2 linked regions of the Xenopus tropicalis genome follow. The protein of the gene in region 1 purifies or fractionates together with the protein of each later gene. This does not show direct contact. Links are inferred from orthologs where the notes say so. Each region holds a gene or a part of one and is shown in the gene's direction. Other genes may lie near its edges.

The links. The genes of interacting proteins can lie anywhere in the genome.
Region 2: the proteins of fbxo7 (region 1) and psma6 purify together in Homo sapiens (affinity purification with mass spectrometry; 3 studies listed by BioGRID and IntAct, with this or other methods). This does not show direct contact. The link is inferred for Xenopus tropicalis from reciprocal best matches to the Homo sapiens genes FBXO7 and PSMA6.

What each region holds. Positions count from the first base shown.
Region 1 is NC_030679.2:7,490,007-7,493,141, reverse strand, and holds the end of fbxo7 (F-box only protein 7), read left to right. Parts: intron 1-1,017; coding exon 1,018-1,113; intron 1,114-1,207; coding exon 1,208-1,384; intron 1,385-1,871; coding exon 1,872-1,909; intron 1,910-1,990; coding exon 1,991-2,341; 3' UTR 2,342-2,610; downstream 2,611-3,135. UniProt on the Homo sapiens protein: Substrate recognition component of a SCF (SKP1-CUL1-F-box protein) E3 ubiquitin-protein ligase complex which mediates the ubiquitination and subsequent proteasomal degradation of target proteins and plays a role in several biological processes such as cell cycle, cell proliferation, or maintenance of chromosome stability.
Region 2 is NC_030684.2:109,491,018-109,495,070, forward strand, and holds the end of psma6 (proteasome subunit alpha type-6), read left to right. Parts: intron 1-349; coding exon 350-431; intron 432-610; coding exon 611-766; intron 767-967; coding exon 968-1,146; intron 1,147-2,904; coding exon 2,905-2,999; intron 3,000-3,322; coding exon 3,323-3,380; 3' UTR 3,381-3,493; downstream 3,494-4,053. UniProt on the Homo sapiens protein: Component of the 20S core proteasome complex involved in the proteolytic degradation of most intracellular proteins. This complex plays numerous essential roles within the cell by associating with different regulatory particles.

The sequences.
Region 1 (3,135 bases):
CTCAGTGATGTCATCTGTATCACATGATGTGTTATAATAAATAAGGTACCCCCTGTTGTAAAATAGTCACCTTATATTCCGTTCCATGATCTGTATAAAAGCACTCGGCCTTTGGTGTTGTGCCTTTATATGGGCACAGAACCCCTCAGTGACTGCTAATATCCTTATCATTTACAGTAGGGGGTACATTATCCCTTATAATACATGAGTGATACTCAGAGTTCCCTGTATAACTCAGCCTGCAGCCTTGTGCCTTTATATGGGGGGCACAGAACCCCTCAGTGACTGCTAATATCCTTATCATTTACAGTAGGGGGTACATTATCCCTTATAATACATGAGTGATACTCAGAGTTCCCTGTATAACTCAGCCTGCAGCCTTGTGCCTTTATATGGGGGTCACAGAACCCCTCAGTGACTGCTAATATCCTTATCATTTACAGTAGGGGGTACATTATCCCTTATAATACATGAGTGATACTCAGAGTTCCCTGTATAACTCAGCCTGCAGCCTTGTGCCTTTATATGGGGGGCACAGAACCCCTCAGTGACTGCTAATATCCTTATCATTTACAGTAGGGGGTACATTATCCCTTATAATACATGAGTGATACTCAGAGTTCCCTGTATAACTCAGCCTGCAGCCTTGTGCCTTTATATGGGGGGCACAGAACCCCTCAGTGACTGCTAATATCCTTATCATTTACAGTAGGGGGTACATTATCCCTTATAATACATGAGTGATACTCAGAGTTCCCTGTATAACTCAGCCTGCAGCCTTGTGCCTTTATATGGGGGGCACAGAACCCCTCAGTGACTGCTAATATCCTTATCATTTACAGTAGGGGGTACATTATCCCTTATAATACATGAGTGATACTCAGAGTTCCCTGTATAACTCAGCCTGCAGCCTTGTGCCTTTATATGGGGGGCACAGAACCCCTCAGTGACTGCTAATATCCTTATCATTTACAGTAGGGGGTAGTAGGATTCAGCATCTTCATGTTCCCCCCACAGATAACAACATTGCCTCTGTGTATAAGGATCTGCAGAAGTTATCGGGGCAGTTTAAAGACCAGGTGGCCTACCCTCTGCTTGCTGCTGCCCGGCAAGGTAACAGTCCGCCCCGGGCCGCTATTGGCCACTTCCCCCCCCCCCCCCCCCCCAGTTATAGCCGTTATTACATCTCCTTCCTTTCCCGTCTCAGTGCTGAACCTCCCGGATGTGTTCGGGCTACTCGTTCTCCCCCCGGAGCTCAAGCTCAGGATTTTCCGCCTGTTGGACATTCGCTCCCTTCTCAGCCTCTCGGCCACCTGTAAGGAGTTCTTGGCCGACACCAACGACCCCTCCCTGTGGCGGTTCCTGTGCGTCCGAGACTTCCGGAGTGAGTACAAATTTAGGGACACTGCACCCACATATTCTTGTGCCTTGCAACACTGGGGGTGAGGGGGTAACCCGGCAGATCCGATTTGCAGTTATAGCCGCCATATTGTTCTTAAAGGGGCGGTTCACCTTTATGTTAACTTGTATGTTATAGAATTGCAAATGATCAGCTTTTCAATTGGTCTTTATTTTTTATTATTATTATTGGACTATCTTTTTATTCAAAAACTTCTCCTATTCATATTCTAGTCTGTTATTCCAACCACTGCCTGGTTGCTAGGATAATTCGGACCTTAGCACCCAGATAGCTGCTGAAATCCCAAGCTAAATAGTACAAAAACCAATTGCAGCAGTTTGGGTGCACTGCTTTGTGGCAATGCTGTTAGGGATCAGCACTAAAAGGCAAAGTTTTGGTATCTTGGGTTTATGTTGCTTTGTGGCAATGCTGTTAGGGATCAGCACTAACTCTATGCTTTGCTGTTGAACAGATAACCTTCCAAGGAGTTTGGACATGGATTGGAAAAAGGTGGGTGCTGTTACTGTAGATATGGGCCGGGGCCTTGGGTGCAACTCAGTATAAGGGCCGCCATCTTTGTTTGTGTTGCAGCTCTACAGGGAGAAGTACAAGCAGAAGATGGAGCGCAGCCGCTTTGTACGCCGGCACTTCCTGCCCCCCAGGATCACCCACCCTTACCCTTATTACCCCAACATCTTCCCCCCTGACTTAAATTACCCTCCGGGTATCATCGGGGGTGAATACGACCAAAGGCCCTTCCCCCCTATCCTGGACCCCAGTTTCATCCCCCGAGTCGGGCCGACTTCCTCGCACTTCAGTCCCTTATCCAACCCCTTTAAAGTCACAGTCCCCTTTTCTGAGAGCGACCCATCGATCCCGGGGCCCAGCAGTCTCCGCCCCAGCAGAGGAAGGGGCCCCGACATCCGGAGGGGCTTCATATGAACTCCCGGGGGGGTCGGAGACATTCGGAGGTCGGACTGTTGCACTGGATGTTTCCCCTTAAGTTGTGAATAAGCCCCTGGCGCTGGACTTCCTGCTTTGTTATTATCTGGGGTACATGGGGCAAATGGGGGCAGTTACCCCCCCACTGGGGTGTTTCTATTACTAATAGAACTGTTTGTTAAGAATAATTAAGAGCGGGGGCTTGGGGAAACTTTTTTTTTTTTTTTTTATTATTTATGACATCAATAAATAAATACAAATACAGAGAACAGAAAATAGAAATAATCCTCGGCCAGAAGGTGGGAACCTGCAGAGTAGAACCCCCCCCCCACCCCTCCTGGGTACCCCTGGAACTATAGCAGGGTGACTGTTACCCCAATGTTTCTATATATCTGTAACCTTGTTATGGGCTAAGGGGGCCCAGCCTGAAGGCCAGTTAGGGGGGGATTTGGGGTGAGTGCTTATTTGTGCCCTGGGTACCCCTGGAACTATAGCAGGGTGACTGTTACCCCAATGTTTCTATATATCTGTAACCTTGTTATGGGCTAAGGGGGCCCAGCCTGAAGGCCAGTTAGGGGGGATTTGGGGTGAGTGCTTATTTGTGCCCTGGGTACCCCTGGAACTATAGCAGGGTGACTGTTACCCCAATGTTTCTATATATCTGTAACCTTGTTATGGCTAAGGGGGCCCAGCCTGAAGGCCAGTTAGGGGGGGATTTGGGGTGAGTGCTTATTTGTGCCCTGGGTACCCCTGGAACTATAGCGAGGTGACTGTTACCCCAATGTTTCTATATA
Region 2 (4,053 bases), on another chromosome or scaffold:
GCTGAACATAGCTTTTGCTTATTGTTTTAAATGAAAATATCTGTTTTTGTAATTTTATGAATTTTACAAATAAGTAAAAAAAATCACTTTTACTTTAGCACTTCCTTGTTCTGCTAAGCAGAGAAGGAGCTGTTAAAACAAATTACCTGTCCAGTGAAAAGCCCCGTGATAATGAGCTGTTCAGAGTTTTGGAACTCTGAACAAATTACCTGTTTATAGAGTGAGAGGGGGTGGAAGGTGATTACTGTCCCATTTCAGACTTTCTGTTTCCCTGGTGTTCTTCCAAAGTTAGGCAAGTTTATGTACTTTTATTTTTCCTGAATTTTAAGTGATATCATTCCCTTCACAGGACAAGCTGTTGGACAGCAACACAGTAACCCATTTATTCCGGATTACTGAATCCATTGGCTGTGTAATGACCGGAATGACAGGTATTTTGCTTAATCGCCATATATTAGCCACATCAAAGCTAAAGGCCCTGGTTGTAAATGAGACCATCTATCTTTTTAGCTTCTTAATGCTGCATATTGTTTCTCTGCGCTTTTTAAGCTCTTTACATTTTAAAGCCTTTTACGTTTTATAAGACATTGTCCCTTCTCTCTCTCACTAGCTGACAGCAGGTCGCAGGTCCAGCGGGCACGTTATGAGGCTGCAAATTGGAAGTACAAATACGGCTATGAAATCCCAGTAGATATGCTTTGTAAAAGGATTGCGGATATTTCTCAAGTATACACACAGAATGCTGAAATGAGGCCCTTAGGATGTTGTAAGTGTTCTCAAAATATTGAGAAAGACATTGCGCTTATGATTTATAAATTAACATATAAATTAACTCTTTAGATGTAGAATTGGTGATGCACACCAGGTTTTTCTGCTCACGTAAAGACAGCTTGCAATGCATTTACAAGTTTTGTTTCATTGTGTGGGGATTTATTTTTCTTCTTTGCCTCTTTTTAAAATATTGTAGGCATGATCCTAATTGGAGTGGATGAGGAGAATGGACCACAAGTCTTTAAATGTGATCCTGCAGGCTACTATTGTGGCTTTAAGGCTACCACAGCTGGAGTGAAGCAAACTGAGGCCACCAGCTTCCTAGAAAAGAAAGTAAAGAAGAAATTGGACTGGACTTATGAGCAGACTCTTGAGGTAGCATGGAAAATCATTTTTTTTAACCCACAGTTACTGCCCACCCTTCTGCATTTCCCTGTACACTCACTGCTACCTTTCATCTACCCTATTTGCCCTCCCTTAAATAATAATGCAGCCTGTGTTTTGTAATTTCCTACCATTTCTTCACTGCACACAAGGAATGCAGAAGCAGAGTAAAAACCTCTCACCTTGGTAACCGGTGTATGCATACTATTTGTACTTTTTCCGTTTTCCCTTAGAGTGCTTAGTGGCTGACGCATTTCAGAGCATTTTAAGACAAATTCCCTCATTGCAAAACCAAGGGTATTAATATGAAGTTAGTCCTCTCTTTGCAGCTATAATAACTTCTCTTTGCTGGGAAGACTACCCACTACATTGGGACAGTGTTATACCTCCACAAGCATTGATTATTTTAGCCCCTGATATTTGTCAGGCCTAGCTCAGAGTTGGCCTCTCACTTCGTCCTGCAGGTGTTTATGTTCCAGTCAAGTTCTTCAACATCTAACTCAGCAAATCAGTTTTGTGTGGTCCTCACTTCATGCAGTTAGCATGACCTGTGCTGAAAAAGGAAAGCGTCCTCCCTAAACTCTATCCACAAAGAGCAGTAGTAGGATATTCCAGGCCGCAGACATTTCAGTTATTGGCTAAACATGGATAAGAGCTCCTGTTTAAAGGGGCAGTATACAAATCTATTACATTTGAAAATTGAACTAAAATTTCATTCTACTTCCTGGTCTCAGTTAGCAAAGTGAAACAAAGCAGTCCACTTTGTATGAATAAACCCCTCCCTTTCCCCAGCTACTGCCTGTTATCTTTTAAGATAAAGGGCAGCTCTGCAGAGGCTCCCAAGTGATATAAAATAACAAATTAAAAACCATAAATATTTCCTAAGGCAAACAGTATGTTTAGCACAAGCCCTATTCTACTTAAACTTAAAGGACCAGTAAAACTAAAAATGATTATGTTAAAAATCCATTCTCTCTCATTCTGACAGTACATCTGCCCTGCACAAAAAATACCAAAAAAAACAGGTTATCTTCCTGCTGTTTTAAAAAAAAAAAAAAAAAAAAAGCAATAGGGCCACACAAATTGTGCAAGACCCTACGTGCGCACTCCACATCTCCTCCTGAAACCGGAAGCCAGTTACTGCAGCTATAAGGATTTTCTAGCCCCTTGTGTTATTTACTTAGGGTGATTTATTGCTGAAAGTGCTGCAAGCAGCGAAGGCATCACACAGGTCAGCTGTAATTCTACAAAGTCAGTGCACATATTTCTTCAGTTGCTCGCAGCGCTTACAGCAATAATGAAGTAATGCTGCCAATGCACACCCTTCCCTGGAACATAATTTGCAAGAATATAAACAAAGAAACCGAGAGCTTACAAGGGGTTAGAAACCCTGTAGCAACCGGAGGTGCACAGTTCAAGTCACCCTACTGCCTCGCAGAAAGATAACTTTTTATGGTGTATTTGCATAAAGCACTTAAAATAATAAACACTGCACAGGGTAGATGTGTTGTTAGAGGGGGATAGAATGGATGTTTAACAATAATGTTAGCATTGCTGTTGATAGTGTTAATATGTAAACTAAGGGAAACTTGAGGTGACAGCCATGAACAATAGAATATTGACACTGAAGAGGCACCCCTAAGCACAAACAATGTCATTTACGCACACCTAGCTATACTGCAAGATCAAGCTGCTGAAAAATCTGATCTACTTTAGAATTTAACAAAAATATGAATTTTCTCATTTCAGACAGCCATTTCTTGTCTCTCCACGGTACTGTCTATTGATTTCAAACCTTCAGAACTGGAGGTGGGAGTCGTCACAGTCGAGGATCCAAAATTCAGGTCTGTAATTGTATGGAGCATTTAAAAGGAAAGAGCATTCCTTATTGGCCAAATAAACAATACCATGAAACCATGCCTTTTTTTTTATAGTAGTGATAAATTGAATACCTTTTTTGAACTAATTCCTATAAATGCACAGAACTGGAAAAGTTTGCTCATAATGAGTTTTCTTAAAAAAGCCCCAGCAGAAATAAGTGAGACATTCTACTATAACAAATACCATATACAGCATTATGGTATTTTTCAGTCCTGAGACCTATACTTGTCTGTAAATAAGTAATAAATATTTATAAATTGTAACACTTTTTTTTTTGTGGTTATAGAGTTCTTACAGAAGCAGAGATTGATGTCCACCTTGTTGCACTAGCTGAGCGTGACTAGTCATCCTACTTTCACCTCTGCCCAGAAAGCTCTTGCCTGGTAAAATCACCTGTCTTCATAACACTTTTTGTTTTGTTCTCTACATAAATAAAACAGATTTTTTTCTTTTTGGATATCATAGTCTGTTTTTCTTTTTCTGCAAAGCTTCTCTTTCTAAAGACAAGACATTCTGCAAAATCCAGCCCTTACATCATATTTTTCTCCCACGTGATCCACTCCTCTTTCGTGTTGATATATAATGTGTCTGCTCTATGCTACCTTCAGTGTAAGCATTTGTGCAGCATGTTCTCACCCATGGCTTACAAATCAGCTGCCAGGGTGACCAAGGGCTACGTATGTTTCTCAGTGATGCCGTTTCCTGACCAGTCAGGGCCAGAACTAGGGGTAGGCAGAAGAGGCACCTGCCTAGGGCGCAACTTTGAGGGGACGCTAGGCAGGTACCTCTGTTGCCACCCCTAGTCTGGGATCTCTTACCCCCACATTTGATTTCCCAAGGACTCCCTCCCTGCACTGCATCTGTGTGCCTTGCGTGAAGCAATCCCCCTCCAGGGCGTCCCAGCGTTTGCATGCATTCGTGCACACGCAGGGAGGGGGAAGCTGTGGGGGCGAGGTGGCTGGCTGGGTCGCCTAGGGTGCCCGGCCGACTTGGCCTGCTTTTGTGACACGTTAATGT